Nothobranchius furzeri: one gene and its partner. The protein of the gene in region 1 interacts with the protein of each later gene in a pairwise test. Links are inferred from orthologs where the notes say so. Each region holds a gene or a part of one and is shown in the gene's direction. Other genes may lie near its edges. The genes, in order: csde1 and c14h11orf68.

Region 1 (8,438 bases):
GGTTTTGATCTAATTCCCATTTTGGTTTTTGCATTTGTTTCAGCTGGATGATGTCGCAAATGTGCCAACCTACTTCTTAACGATACACCTTAAACTGGACCTTTACGTTTATTCTTAAGTTTTCCAAATAATTACAAAAAACAATTTATACGACGTACTTCTCTTGAAAGAAAGCATCTTTGTTTATATTTTTTCGAAAGTATCAATATACCATTTATTAAAATCAAATGAAGAATACGTGGCATTGTAGCCTGAGCAACGTTTCTTTAGAAGTCTGAGGCGTTTATAATTTTATTTTAGTCAGGTTTTATTCACCATTATGCTTGTTTTTTACTCATGGATGTGTATTTTAATTTCTGGGTTTGTGACGAGTTTTTAATTAAAATTGAAACGCTTTTTATCGTGGTGTTCAGCACAATTGCTCGGGTCACTTTGACTCTTCCAGCTGAGAATAGCGGATTGTCAGGAAGTCACATGCTTGGCCCTGGCAAAGCAATGCTCTTTCTTGCTCAGACATCATCAGGGTCACTGGTACTTAACTGGCATGTTTTGCCTGTTTTATGCTGTTTCATAAAACAGTGGTACACTGATTATAAACTGCTTGTATCATGACTGGAAGTATTTTTTTGTTTTGTTTACCTGTGTTGAAATCACAAATTATGCCATAAAATATTTTCCTGGGGGGGGACTTAGTCTTTACCACACTTGAAATTTATCTGGAAGTAAGTTTTCTTTTTATGCTGTTGTGGTTTTTGCCTGCTTTTTAATGTGTAAACTCAGCTTAGGCTTGTGACCACCTCTTATTGTGGCCTTCCGGGATGGGAAACTGACTCATTGCAACACATTGACAGCAGCGGATCATGTGTCGCAGGAGGACTCCGGCAGCTTGTTTACAGAGCAGCGTATTTGGGTCAACAACCTTCTACTCTAACCTACTTGTTGTTTCTAATGAAGCTAAATTTCATGAAAGAGTAGAGCTGGGCGATTAGAAAAACATCTTATCACTATCACGATCAAAAAATCTAGGTTGTTTAAAAAAGAAAACAAATCCGTACTATTTGACTGTCTTTCATACTAAATGGTGCTTTTAGGTGAGATTCAAAGAGATCAGAAGGTTATCATTTTAAAGATTTATTTATTTTTGCACACTTTCTGTAATCTGGGATTTTAACGTCTTGCATTCTGCTGCTTCAGAATGATCAGTTGTTCTCCCTGAATTAGTCAAAACCTGTGCTCAACATCATTTGTGGTGCAGCTTATCTGACATTAGCTAGCCAAAATATGTCTACATCAGTGGCAGCTGGTGAATTAGTTACATTTTTTCGGCAGGGCACATTTATGCCCTTTTGTTTTCAGATGTTCTAGCGAAATATCACCACTAGGGGGTGCCAAATTACCATTCTTACGATCAAATCTACGTTTTGTACCTCAACACGCAATGTCGCTAAATAAAAAGGCCAACAAAAGACACAGTAGCAACAGTGCAATATGATCCTATCCTCTTTACAATTTAAGCACCATTACTCAACCTGCAAAAGTCACGGAGCAATGCTGCAGCAAAACAAAGCTACTTTCATAAACTCAGAATCATAAATCAAGTCTTACCTTTGCTTACCTTTACCTGTACTCGTTTACTCTAAAACAAAGAATGGTGAGTTAAAAATAGTTATTAAAAAACTGAACTGTGGAGAGTTTCTGGTTCCAGGCAAACATCCTGAGCTGACACTCCACTCGGTTTTGGTTTAAACTTCTGCGACCAAAGGTGCTTCTATTCTTTGCATTTGAGGGGATCCAACGTGTTTAGCTCTGTTAAAGACTGCTGTGCTCGAAAAGAACAGGAAGTACGTAATATGTAAGATTTTTTTAAACTTCATTTAGATGCAGATTATACACAGCACTTATCGTCTGTGATGTGTAGATCGTTTTAGTTTAATTTTCATGTTTTGATAGTAATTCCATCTTCTTCCTGTGAGACTGGTGGGTCGCCCTAGCGCCCCCCCCCCCCCCCCATGGACGAGCTGCCACTTGTCCACATAACTGAACTGTTGGGCTCTTTTTTTTTCTCATGACATTCACTGTGTCCTATCCTTTTAATTACCTGGCTTACGGCAACATCCTACCAATTAGCTATGGTAACAAGCTAAAGCGATGCAAACATTAGCAGCACTTTTGTCATTGTGCTTTGCGGCTCTATTCCAGCCAACGATTGGTCCATCGCGGAGCACCAATATAAGCTGTTCTTTATATCGAGGTTTTTATCAACTCGTTCTCATGTCTACCGAGAGAGGATTTTGAATTATATATTGTTGCTGTTCTATCGCCCAGCTCTACACAAGATACACAAATTAATTTTCTTTTTGGTTCCAAATAGTAGTAATGTGCAAAACAGAGGGCCTTGTTGTGGTATGTATCAAAAAATAGTCAACGCTAGCTAATTAGTAGGGATGCAACAATACCACTTTTTTCCAGACCGATACGATACCGATACTTGGATCCAAGTACTCTCCGATACGATTACCAATACCGATACTTCTACCACAAAAAAATGCAATGATTTGGAATACAAATTTTATTTTCTTCAATTCAAAAATACTTTATTAATCCCAGAGGGAAATTGATTGCTGTAGTAGCTCAGAATAATAATAATAATCAAGTCATCAAAGAGTTGTTGTATATTACAATGGCTGTTGGCAGGAAGGATCTCCAGGAGTGGTCAGTGTTGCAGCCAAACTGAAGAAGCCTCTGACTGAAGACACTCTTCCGTTGTCGGACAGTCTTGTGAAGAGAATGCTCAGGGTTGTCCATCATTTTCTTGATTCTCTGGAGATTCCTTCTTTGCATCATCTCCTCCAGCGGTTCCGAAACTGCTGAAACTCTGGCTGAGTCCTTGAAAGGGCTTGGAGTTCCTCCATCTTTTGGCCAGTGATCTCACATTGTCCATTATGATCGATGGAAGAGATGGTTTGAATTTCCTCTTTCTCTGTCTCAGTTTTGCTCCCGCTCTGCACCCACGCTTCTTGTGTTTTATCTCATTTGGGATTTGTGGCTTCAGTTGAGGTATTATTTCAGCCTTTCTAATGTTAATCAGCTGCTCCCGATTGTAAACCAGCTTGTTGCCATGGTTACGCATCATAACAAATTGCAGTAAAAATCCTCCACGCTTCACAGCACCAGAAACAGAAAAGTTAAGTGTCCAAAAAATACAGTTTTTCTTGAGAAACTGGAAGAAAAATTGCCCAACAAAAGGCAAAACTTACATATAGTCAACAGAGCTACTCGAACATGCAGCCGCCCAGAGCAGCGCAGTTCCAGAAAGCTTCTCTGCTTTCAACAGGAAAAGACTGTGAGGTAGATAAAAAGTAAAATATATGAATGGAAATCATAACAAAACTAAAATATTAGGTGAACAGAAATGACAAGTTACAGTGAAGCCATATTTAAGGTACTGTATTGGTATCGGTTTCTGGTATTGATTAACTTTTAACGATACCTATACTGGTATTGGTACCGATACCAATACCAGTATCTGTGCATCCCTACTAATCAGCCCCCTTTTGCCTTTATCAAGAGGTTTTTGTTTACAGAATAGATGCAGGTGGTCAGTTTTTGTATTTTTCTGCAGCTTCTCTTGGGACTCGCCCCTTTTTCCTGTGGTGCAAACTGTGTGTGTGTCCATTGTCAAAGAAGAGGGTTATCTAACCAGAGCTGCTTTCTCTCCCCAACAGTATGAAGTGAAGCCGAACTGAATTTTTGTACCATCCGCAACTGCTTCAAGTTCAGATCAAAACAAAGGAACTGAAGAAAGAAAAAACCTCCTTCCAAAAGCAGTAACTCCGAAGATAACGTGGGAGGAACAGGATCACTTCAAGGATTTAAAAACACGAGTAACCAAATCCTGAAACGACCAAAGAACACGCACACCTGCCCAACTGCAACACAGACGAGAAGCAATCCTATGCCCAAGCATATTTTGAGAAGCTAACTGATCTGAAACCAGAAGTTTGTGCCTACTCAACAGCTTTGACAAAGCACACGTCCCAACGCTGCTCCTAGCCCTCCTCATCCTTACTACGCTGCCGACTCACCTCCAGGGTGTGGAGTTGGTTGCTATCTGCTAGTTCCCTCCCATCGTTCCCCTCTCTCTCCCACCCTCTTCCTCTTCTCCCTCTGTATTTCTTAAGTTTTCTGCACAGTGTTGTTGCACCTGCAATTGCCTTTCATGTGCTAGATCTCTCCCCCCTTTTTACTTTATGCAACCACCTAGAAGTTGAGCCAGAAACCTGTTAGCTGTGTGTGTGTGTGTGTGTATGTATGTGTGTGTGAGAAGAAGTCTGCAAAGTGATCAAGAGCCTGGTTATTGAAAAGACAAAAGTCAACAAATAAGGTGAGTTTCAGTCGTTTTCCTTTCATAGAACAAGATTCATCATGTGAAAGGCTTTTTTGCATTTCAGCCATAATATTTGTGACTTCATAAAAGGGTTCGGTGTTGTTTTTAAAGGAAAAACTGTAAATGATAAACTTTTTAGAAAATGTCAAAACTGGTTGTGTAACACTGGCTTCAGTGCTTAGGTTTTGGTGCACTAGATGAAAGTGTATAGCTGTCTGGTACCTGTGTGTTTGCAAGCTTTTAAAACTGTGTTCTGACTTCTAGCTTTAAGATCCATTTTTAAGGCGGCACTCAAACTTTGCCTCTTAAGCACAACGTGGAACATCAGTTCAGCTGCTAGCGTTTAGTCAGAAATTAGCTGCTCTTTGTACTTCCGGTCATACTGTTGAACATCTGATTTTTGTCGTTTCTCTAAAGCCTAGTTTATGCTTCTCTGTCAAAGTTTAAACTAGCATGTGTTGACAGAAACATCTTACTTTCATACTACTTTGTGTGTCAGTGTTGCCAAGCAATTCTCTGCCAGGACAGCAGAGGCTGTAGACATGTTCTGGTGGGTCTACCTGTCATTTCAGTGACTTCTCTAGCCAACGATAAAATCTCTATTTTTTAAATAACTGACTTGCGTTTGGCGGATAGTTTAAAAATGGGCTCTTCATCCGTCTTTGCGTGCCTTTTGGAGAGTTCTTGCGTCAACGGATAATGAAGCTGCGTCTCGTCAGATGGGAGAAGTATAAACTAGGCTTGACTTTTCCAATAAGCAAGCTGAGCTGAACTAAACAGTCACCATCCCTTCAATGTTTCTAAACCGGTGATTTGATTTAGTTGATCAGATTGCGTTTCCACAGCTAAATTGACACCCTTTCTACTCTTGAGTCATCTTTTTAAATCTTTTGCCTTTTCAACTCCTCCTCTGAATTGACAGCTGATTTCCTGTGTTTGTGACACTTGGCACACTGGCTGTCCTATCTTCATTGTCCATTATGTTTGTTCCTCTCTTCACCCTTGCAGACATCCAGCAGTGTATCATTGGGTGGTTGCGTAACCGTTTTTTGTCTTAAGTCCAGCAAAAAATTCAAACCAGTAATCAAGTTCAGCAAGTGCTCAAGCAAGCAAGTTTGGTTGGAGTTTATGGGAAAATATGGGCAGCCCCTGGAAAGGCTTTGTTGAGTTTACCTTGCCTGCGTCACCACCTACCGCGTTTGTTAGCGCTGACCTGAGCAGCACCTCCCCCGTCGGACTCAGCTTGTCACCGTATGGCCGATCCGTAAGTTTCGCCTTCCTGCCTATTTTCTGCGAGCCCTACCCCATTGAGCACCCATCCACCCAGCCCTGCATCTTTGCTGTGAATGGCCTAATCTTCCATTACCACCGGGCTCCCGAGACTAGCCTCTACTCAGTTACATCGTTGCAGGGTGAGGGTTGTTTGAGTGTAGCTATAAGGCTATTTCACTGATGCTGGAGAGTCTTTATTTTCTCTTATCAAATTAAACCCTAACCCTGGCTTTCTACTGGATGTGTAAGCAGAGTGTAACGTAATACACTTAATCTGCAATTTCTCTTCCCACTGGGAACGTTTCACACAGCTGGTTCTGCAAGGTCGCAAAATGACCTGAGAGTTGGTCACGTGTCATTTCTGAAATTCTCATGAGAACCAGTACGGAGAAAGATGGCTGCATGTAACCAAAATGATCCCTGGTGTCTGTTCAGTTTACCTTGGCCAGAGGTTTCACTGGTAGTTACATACCTTTTTTTTTAACTAGTTAAAGAGCAAGTCACCCCCTGCCCGAGTCTTACTCCACTCCTACTTCCTGTTTGTACAATGCAATGCTGTTGCCTGGTAGACCGAGGGGGCGGTGCTGCTAACAAATACACACACAGGCTCATAACGGCATTGTGACATCATATGGTACTTCTTAGCCAATAGCGTTATCAGATTTAAATTCAAATGCAGTGCAAAGTTTTCACCTGAAGAGGGCACAACAATGAGTTTAAGGCAGAATATTTAAGTTTTTACTAAGATGCACTAAAGTGACAAATAATTGACTACACGTGTCTAAAGCACGATTACACACATTTATATAGTTTATCAGCAAAACAAAGTTCATTTGGGAATGACTTGCTCTTTAAGCAACTGGAAATCTGCTTGGAACTTTATTTTGAAAGTTTTGAGATGTTTAACACAGATCTCATGTTCTTGTCTGGCCTGACTCTGTAGGCACAGCGTGTTAAAAATGTGTCATACGTGACGCGTCCCCCCCGCTTCTGGGACTCTTTCGAAACGCGGTGCTGGTGGAAGTGCACCCATTCGTTATCATGATGGCTAATTGCTGTGAACTATGCTTTATGGACATAACGCAATGCTTACGCGTCCGGTAGAGAAGCCTGGTTACATAACTCACCTTCCCATCAGCCCAAAAAAGAAATTACTTCATAAAGTGTAAAACTTTAGAAAAGCTTCCTACCTTTTGCGTTTTTTATTTAAAAGTTGCGTTTTTCGATAGAGCAGAACAGGGTCTAACAGCAGAGGCTGCTCTGGGATCCCCCTCATTACCCATAATCCATCACCAGCTCTGTCCACCTGTAGATACCTGCTGTTCAAACCGTCTCCATCTCCAGTCCTGTTCTCGCCTCAGCTGGCTGTGCCAAGAGCTAATTTTAGTTCCTTTTTCCGTTTGAATGGAGGTTTTTATTTTATATCTTTTTAGAAGGGGTGCTAAAAAACTCAGTTTGGAGGTTGTACACTCATTAAGGTTTTTGTGATATTCAAATATATTAATTAATTCATTCTCTAATAAAACATGTGACTTGTTTTAATACGGAGCTGGCATACAGAGGTTGTGTAAAGTTGGGGACATCAGTTGGACGTTGTGGCATAAAGCATCAAGGTTTGGGTGTCCAAGGGCGTTTCTCAATGCTAAAGAACCTTGTCTTGATGTCTTGTCCCAGTCCCGGTTGCCTAGGAGATACGTAAACAGACGTGTTCCAATGTTCATGTCTACCGAGGTGTCTGTTCTCCGTTTGTTAGCCGTTCAGCTAGCTGAGCAAGGATACACGGGAGGTGTCTTGTAGCCTAGCCTTGGTCAAAAATTACCCAGAATACACCGCAGTATTTTCAAAAGGATGGCGGATCAGAAGCCGGCAGCTACTTCTGGGGTAAATTTCAAGTTTAAATGTAAGTCAACTACTTAAAAAAAATTCCCAAAGCAGTTATTTATGGTTGGTTAGTTGCTTAGTAGTTGCAGCTTCGGTGGCTAGCGGGTAGTAACTCAATTATATTTTTAATTATAACAAACATCTAAACAATTTAAAAAGGAAACACCTTGTTATATATTTATGTTGAAACTACTACGTATAAAATATAACGTTATCTCTCGTGTCACGTGCCGTTACGTGGAAGCCGCGGTCACGTGTTGCAAGTCTGTTCCGTTTAACCGTTTTCTTTAACCGAGGAAGGACGGTGTCCTGAGTAAGGTGCCTTGACATTGAGAAACATTAAAAATGTAAGGTAATTAAAGTAAAAACCATTCAAAGCTTTGAGTCGGTTACATTTTGAAGCTGTTGCCTTTTCCAACAGCCTGTCCCGGCCCAGTCTCCTGTGTTAAAAATGGAACGAGGCTCCTCTGAACCTCCAGTTGCTCGAAGCACTGGCTCAGCCTCGAATACCTCCACTGCTCCCGTTCACATTCCCCGATCCTCCTCTGTCTCTGGCCATCCTCACCAAGGAAGTAAAAAATACAAGCGGAGCCCCTTGTATCAGAGATCCGTAAGACGAGACGCAGCTCTTACTGACTGAGTGGCTCTCTGAGCTGATTGGTGTGGTTTTACCTCTAACCGCATGGGTTTTTACATATTATAGTTAAATAAGATTATTGTCACTTGGTTGTGAGTCAGAGGAACGTACACTACTCCATCAGGAGGCGCATGATGCTTTGCAAAGTTCCACCTTGTTAGGATTTTAAAATATCAACAGTTTTGGGTGAATTGCTGTTTTTAAGGCATGATTTGACCTTAAAGGTTTCAGGTTTGTAGGCTAACATAGGTTTAAGTTCAC
Region 2 (7,637 bases), on another chromosome or scaffold:
GTGCAGATACAAGATAACGCGTTTGTAATCTAATCAGCTGGAAATCGGTTCCACTTGTTTATCAACATTATAGACACCATCAAATACATAAACAGTGTTGTGAAAGAGTATCTGCTCCCTTACAGGTTTCTGTTGTTTTGATTTGTCCTCACATTTTAACAAGTGAAAAAATATCAACATGAGAAATAAAAGTGAACTTTCTAAAACCTCTGCTGACCAAAAACAACACAAACATTCATCATTTGCCCAAAGAACATCTAGAGCAGTGGTTCCCAACCTTTTTCCCAAGGGACCCCGTTTTTACCAGTAACATTTTTGTCGACCCCCCCCCATTCTCTCTTCCAGTACAAACATTATTAATAAATGATAAAATGGTTCAAGCACATTGTAATACGCTTTGATTCAATAGATAACAGTAATAGTAGGCTCCAGTACAGAACAAAGTCATCAACAAAAACAAACAGAGCATAATGTGCTTGACAGTTTGTATTACTTTTCTGAACACATTGTTTCTCATAAACACTGATAAATCAATCATTCCTTTCAATAAACGTTCGACACATAAAAATACACTGAGTAAAATGTACTTAAATGTGTATATTACTGTTTATACTAGATTATTTACTGTAAAGGCTGTGATTAATCAACCAGTCCTATCTTTAATGAACTTTTGACACTTGAAAATAAAACAGTGAGCTGAGCAGAATGTTCTTAAAAGTGTGTTACTTTTTCTGTACTAATTATTTCCTGTCTTAATATCAGTAAACTTTTCACTCATGAAAAAAATGTGAGCAAAATGTAGGCTATAAACAAGTAATAAATGAAGTTTTAACCCCTTAAAGTGGAGAGGTCCTGGCGACCCAATGAGAGGCTTTGGCGCCCCCTTGTGGGGGTCGGGACCCCCAGGTTAGGAACCACTGGTGTAGATGATCCACAAGGCCTTTGGGAAACATTCTGCTCTGATGAGACAAAGGCAAAACGTTGTAGAAGGCTCCATCTAGAGTAAAACTAGCGCTAGAATATTGTAACAGTCAGACATAGAGGTGGCAGTGTGATGGTCAGGGGCTGCTCTGCTGCATCAGGACATGGGCCACTTGCTGTAACTGGAATCAGCTCTCCTGAAGGACAACATCTGACCTTCGACCTTAAACAGGTCATTCATGCTGGAAACCCTTAGCCTAGTGAACTAGACCAAATTCTTGCTTTGCAAAGTCCAGGCACGCTCCACTGGGACCTCCGCAGCTCCTACCAGGACTCTGGCTGGCCAATCACAGCTCTCTAGAGGGGTTTCAAACACATAAAGAGCTGTGATTGGTCCATAATGGTGGGCCAATCATAGTGCTCTATCTGCTTAGTGAACAAATCAGAGAGCTTTATCCACTTTGTGGGCCAATCAGGGCACTCTATATGCCTGGTGGGTGGGATGATGCAACAGAGTGAAACAAGAGGATGTCACATTCTTTGTCCAGTGGAATGCGGAGATCATTTGGAAGACAACGGTAGAACCCGCCCCACAACCGAGAGCCGTCAATGGAGCGTGGCCAGACTAAATAATACATTTATTTAGTCTGGCTTGCCAGGCTAGGAGACCCTCCCAACGTGGCTGAATTATTATTACTGCATAACGACAAAACTCCTCCACAGTCATGCAGGACTCGTTACCAGTTATATCATAGACACTTGACTGCAGATGTTGCTTCAGAGTGTATCAACCTGTAGGATCAGGTTGGTTTACACAGATTTTGTTCCCTTAATTAAATAATCATTAGAAAACTGCATTTTCCATTTATTCTAGTTAACTTTGTCTGATGAGGATGCTTCTTTGCTAATCTGTTTTTTTTTATGTTTAAAGAGCAAGTCACCCCAAAACCACTTTTTTTTGCTGATAAATTGAGTGTCTAATCGTGCTGCACAGACATGGAGTCAATATTTTGGCCCTTTAGTGCATCTTAGTTCAAATTTAAATAAATATTCTGCTTAAAACCGTCAGTATTGAATCGTCTTCAGATAAAAACTCTGCACTGCATTTGAATTTAAATCTGCCATCGCTATGGGCTAAGAGGTACTCCATGACATTAGCTGGTACATTATGATGTCACAATGTCTGTGAGAATGTGTGTGTATTTATTAGCGGCTCCGCCCTCTCGATCTGCTAGACAACAGCACTTGCATTTTTTAAACAGGGAGTGGAGTAAGACTCTGGTAGGGGGTGACTTGCTCTTTAAATGTTTCAAAGACCTGAGGGGCAGATACTTTTTACAGCACTTGATAAAAGTGAGTATTATAGATAAATGAGGGGGCTGACATTCAACCCTGAAGTGCTGTAACAGTAAAAACAACAATGAATCTTTAAATCTGAATATTTTTTTATGTTTACATGTAAAATAACACACTAATAAAAGGTTTGACTCAAACACAAGACTTACAGATGTGATGTTGTCATAGTCTTTGCATTCCTCGACTGGGTGACGTGACAAGCCTTTGTAAGCAAAGACTCCAGAAAGAGTTCAAGAGCTCTCGCTGATGACTCAGTGAAGGAAACATCAACAACAGCATAAATGCTTATGATTCTCTTTAAAATGATTTTTTCATCAAAGATATTACAGAGATTCAAAATGCTTTGTAGTTTGTACATGACTGTACAAGTAAAAGCAACAATTCGCAAATATCCAACCTTTACAGAAAAAAGGATACAGATAATAACAGGAACTGCTGCAGCCACTTTGCCGATTTCTTCGTCTGTCTGCATAATCTTCTTAATTCTTGCCTAAAACAAAAATAAATGTTATTTTCTGTATGTCTTAAAGCAGTTTTTTCTCCTCATTACTGTAAAATCGTATCACAGACTAACTGTTAGCAGAACATTAAAAACAGCTCAGTGAAGAACCCAACCCCTCAGTTCATTTATTTACATATGTGTTAACTTTGTTATATGCAAGTCCATATGCAGGTAAATAATAAGTACAAGAACTCTATCATAGAATTTCTGCATGTATAATTTACCATGTCGGTGGTAGGCAATGCTAAAAACAACCAAAGTCAAGTCGAACGACTGATGTCTCAGCAAATAAATATATACATGAAAATAGCTTTTTTAGCTGATTGAGGGAAACCTACAACCTGTAAGTGGCTAAGTTGTAGTTCAGTGAAAAACATCAGGGATGCTAATTTGGTTTTCCATTCCATTAGACCAAATAAAGCCCGAATCTCCTGAAGCTAACCACAACTAGCTGCTCCTGTTTGCTCGTTTCAAATGAAAGTTTTGACTCACCGGAGGAAATCTGGCGTTGTACTTCTTCTTTTTGCTGGGCATAGTTAAACAACCTGGGAGGATAAACTACAAAACAAAGTATTCAGGATTATATTCGTATATCATATGTGATTCAATCCAACCGCACATACAACAGATATTGGTAGCTAACCGGCTAACTTGTTAGCACGTCGTCAGTCGTTCCTTGGTGCTCCTCCGCAAACAGGTCCGGTCACTTTGGTTCCGCTAACTTCCAGCGAACACTGTGATGCTAGCATTTTAATCTGAGCGTTCCACGTATTAATTAGTTGAGATATGTTTCATATATTAATGTTTAAAGACCATTATTAGTACGAATAGTTCACTAAGATAATGGGCATTCTATTGGTATTTGCCTGAAAGCTAAGTTTTCTCTTTTGCAGTCGGGCGACAACAGCTCTGCCCAATGCGCATGAGCGAAAGTGCAGCGCCTTATGAAAAACCGCTGCAGCTAGCCAGTTGGCTAGCAGCAACTAGAAGGAAGTAGTTCGGTTGTTTTCTTTCATGTTACTGCAAACAGGAGCTGCTAACAGTCGTCCGAATGGGGAACAATCTGTAGAACAAGCAGGGTTTTGGTAAGATGCTTTAAATATGTAGTAAATTATGCTAAATGTGGTCTGTTAGTTGGCACCGCTGAATCTTATAGGCCAGATGGGTCAAACGTTATAAACTTGGTCAGAGTTCAGGGTCGATAGCGGAAGAGATGTTTTATAATGTTTTTGTGGTTTCTTATTTAAGTGAGATTTCTAGAAAATTAATATATCGTATTATTTTCCTTAACGTATTGTATTAAACATTTACCAAATGCTTTCACGACTGTTTAAAATCCCTCGATGAAAATAAAAGTACGCAAATTTAAATATTAATTTTTAAAATGTTAGGAGAAGTAAAAACTGCTAGTTGAAGACGAGCCTGTGTTGCCAGATAAAAGCCAGAGCCACAAACCCAACATCGCTGGGGCTTCAATCAAACTACTGTACTGAGAAGTCCAAACCTCCAAGTTTGTTATGTTTCTAATCAAATGAGCAGAGTTCCTTAGGGCGGCTCCAGACTGGTAGCAGTGCTCTGTCCTGATGCATTCTGGGGCTTGTAGTTTTAGTGGTAATTTGAACTACAGTACCACAGGCCGTGTGTTTGTGTATTCAAACATGTGAGGTGTTTTTAAAGCCAGACTGTTTGTTTCCACTCAGCAGAACAAACGACTGGATTCGTCCACTCTAAAAGCATGATGGAGGGAGAAGGAGCCCCTGTAGATGGAGAGGGGGAAACCCCGTTCATGGCTGAGGCCTTTGCCGCTGAGGCCATGGCTGCAGACATGGATCCCTGGATAGTTTTTGACTCCAGAAGAACTCCCAGATCAGAGTTTGAAGGCTGGCTGGAGAGTAACAGACCCTCGCAGGTGTACAGGTTTGGTGCTGAGGAGGAGAGTGGCTGCCGGGTGGGGTGGATCGCTGTTCTCGGGCCGGACCACTGCCCTGGTGGCGGGGATGTCATGGGTCTCCAGGAGAGTTGGGAGAAACTTTTGGCCAGCAGCAGGCCTGTCACGTTCCAAACGGTGAAAGAGCTGGCTCTGAATCACGGCGTGCTCACGGGGAAGTGGCTGATGCACTTGGATTCAGGCTTCAAACTAGACCACGCATGGGAGTGCGTGGCCAGAGCAACCCTGGAGGGCAAGATCTCCACTGTCAAAGTAAGCCCCTTTAACCCCAAGGCAGAAGGCAAGCAGGTCATTTGTGCCTATAACCACAACTTCACCGATGAGAGTGAAGTGATGAGGTTGGACTCGGTCATCCGCGCCACAGGGGTCAAATGCCCCCTCTCCTACAAGCCAGATGTTTACACATACCTGGGAATCTACAGGAACAATCTCTGGAAGCTCTGCCCAACAATTTATGAGAGCAAGTTTGACTTGGAATGTGTTCCCCGGCGCTCCCACATCATCAACAAAGTCACGAGGCTGGAAGTCACCTAGAACCAGTCTGGACAGGAGTGTGGCGTTGTGACCGTCTCGCATGAAGCCCGGGCGCTGCAGTTAGCCCGTGGTTCAACTTCAGTCTCGTGTTTTTTCATTTTTGATAAAGGGGAAAAAATATTATTTCAATGTTTTGTTTTATCCATCCTGCTTTCTTAGCTGAATAAGTGACCTGAAATGCAGTTTCAGTTTATGTTGAGTGATGTTTGTGAGCGGCAGGATTGATGAGATCCTTGAATCCTGAGCGTGGGCCTCTCAGTGACTCGGTTATGCTTCCCTTGGTTAAAAAAGATAAATATCTCTTCAGTTCAGCTTTAATCTTTGTTTACTACTCAACCATCGCAGCATTAACAAGTAAAATATACCTTTGAAAACCTGTCTTAATGTTTTGATTTTTTATTGTTAAAGTGTTCTGAATTTAAACAAGATTAGACATTCATACCAGATAATAGCATGGTTTTCTGTGTACAAGTAAAGAAAGGCAGAACTTCAGCATAGAGAGACGTTTAGAAGTCTGTTTTCTGTGAAAGCTCTCCGTAAACACAGTTTGAGCTCAGACCAAGGCGGCTGGATGTCATCTTAAAACCGTTCCTGCCAAAATAACTGGTACAAAACTAATGGCTGCGAGAAGATTTAGAAAATAACAGGAACAGTGAAAGTTCTGGAGATCAGGCCCGGCTGGTTTTAGGTCTATGAAGTCACTCTGCTGCCACCTTCAAACGGTTACTGTATAAACCTACGCCGAACCCCTGGATGCAGCAGAAGGGCTGGAGCTGACTCGTCCTCCCGTAAACGGCTACAGCTTTGGGGAAGTTTATTAAATATTAAGGCAGCAGCAGTGGTCTTCAGTAACGTTCACACAACTTCTCAACGGTGGAAATACACGCCCGTTTGCACGTCTTTCCATCTGAGCCAGGTTCAGGACATGGTTGTCTTGAACCTCGTACTGAAAATAATTAAGTTAAAAATGTGGTTTAATGGCAGAATAATGAAGAGTTTACAGCAACTATGAGAGCTTCTAGAAATTGTATTTCTGACCCTGTGAGATATGAAGTCCGCGTCGACTCTGTTACAGAAACATCCAAACGGCTGAAAAATCCCTTTAACAACTTACTACAAAGCTGACGTAAAACGTGTGTAAGTGGTGAACTGTCGTCTTTATAAAGTACAAAAACCATCCTGTGGCAGAGTTGTAAGCTTCTGAGCTTCTGGTTGAATTGTATTTACATTTAAACCTTCATTTGGTTTGATGGGCTCACACCGCAACTGCTGACCTTCAGTGAACATTACCACCACCTGACAGAAACCGTGTACTTGTGTAGGCTCACCTCTAAGAAGTACCGGGCCTTTTGCTTTGGAGTAAAAATGGCTGATTTTAAACACTTCTACGAACAAAGCAACCAAAAGTGGTTCAGAAAGACGCTCAACAGGCTCCATCGATACATCGACACCTTCATCAAAACCTTCCACGTGACCCTTAAAGCTCCTCACACTGGCTACACTGGTGTGATTGGCTGAACTTGGCCAGTCCTGTAGTTGCTGTGATAGTTTTTCAGTAAGTACATCCACAGTGGAAAGTCACGTCCACCCTCCACCTTTGTCCATGTTAGTGGACTTTCTGTCCTCAGGAGGGCGGACAGAAGAGGTCTTTGGGGGGACTACTCCTAGGTTGGGTGTCCCGACACAAACCCAGCATGGCTTCCGCTGTTAAAAATCGAAATGAGACGCTCTTCATCGGCAGACATCAGCTCCTCCAGATCGTCCAGCACCGTGGGCTGGTGGTTGCTGCTGCTGCCAGGACCAGCTACCATCATGGTCTCGCTCCGCAGCAGGTTAGCGATGCTGTTGGGGTAATTCATGTAGGTGCTTCCTGGGTTACTGACTGGTTCAGAGGGGTTCTGGGACACTGAGCCGTTATGGGGGCCAGCAGCAGAGTTGGGAACGGCCACAAACATGGAGGCGCTGTTTCCAACATCAAGTCGGGGGTTCAATAGGTCCACAAGGTCCTCCATGTTTAGACTGTCCAGGGTGCTGGGAACCTGGGCATCGGAAAAGCTGGGGAAGTCCTCATCCACGAGTGTTGTTTCCACTTGGAACTGAGAGTCCGGGTTGGAGAAGATGGTGCCGGGCTGGGTGGGCTCCGTGTTTCCCTGAGCAGCTGCTGGCTCCTGGGAGATGGCTGAGGACATGTTAGGGAAGAACTCATGAAGGTCTGACAGGTTGACTGTTTGGTAGTCCTGGCTGGCTGCGGTGGCGCTGGTGGTGGGGGCCATGGAGGCAGGGGGTGCTGCTGAGCTCATTATAAAGGGAAGTGGGTTGTTTTTGGGCTGAGGGCCCATCTTTAGACTCTCCATGATCTTCCAGGGCTCAGTCGCA

Evidence for each region.
Region 2: the proteins of csde1 (region 1) and c14h11orf68 interact in a two-hybrid assay, tested with the Homo sapiens proteins (2 studies listed by BioGRID and IntAct). The link is inferred for Nothobranchius furzeri from reciprocal best matches to the Homo sapiens genes CSDE1 and C11orf68.

Annotation. Positions count from the first base shown.
Region 1 is NC_091755.1:53,130,249-53,138,686, reverse strand, and holds the start of csde1 (cold shock domain-containing protein E1), read left to right. Parts: upstream 1-4,175; 5' UTR 4,176-4,384; intron 4,385-5,395; exon of another isoform or gene 5,396-5,525; coding exon of another isoform or gene 5,526-5,651; intron 5,652-7,961; 5' UTR 7,962-7,991; coding exon 7,992-8,150; intron 8,151-8,438. UniProt on the Homo sapiens protein: RNA-binding protein involved in translationally coupled mRNA turnover.
Region 2 is NC_091754.1:63,715,633-63,723,269, reverse strand, and holds c14h11orf68 (UPF0696 protein C11orf68 homolog), read left to right. Parts: upstream 1-3,721; 5' UTR 3,722-3,864; intron 3,865-4,479; 5' UTR 4,480-4,514; coding exon 4,515-5,261; 3' UTR 5,262-5,491; downstream 5,492-7,637. Other genes in the region: drap1 (dr1-associated corepressor), read right to left, coding at 2,427-2,520, 2,695-2,767, 3,272-3,313.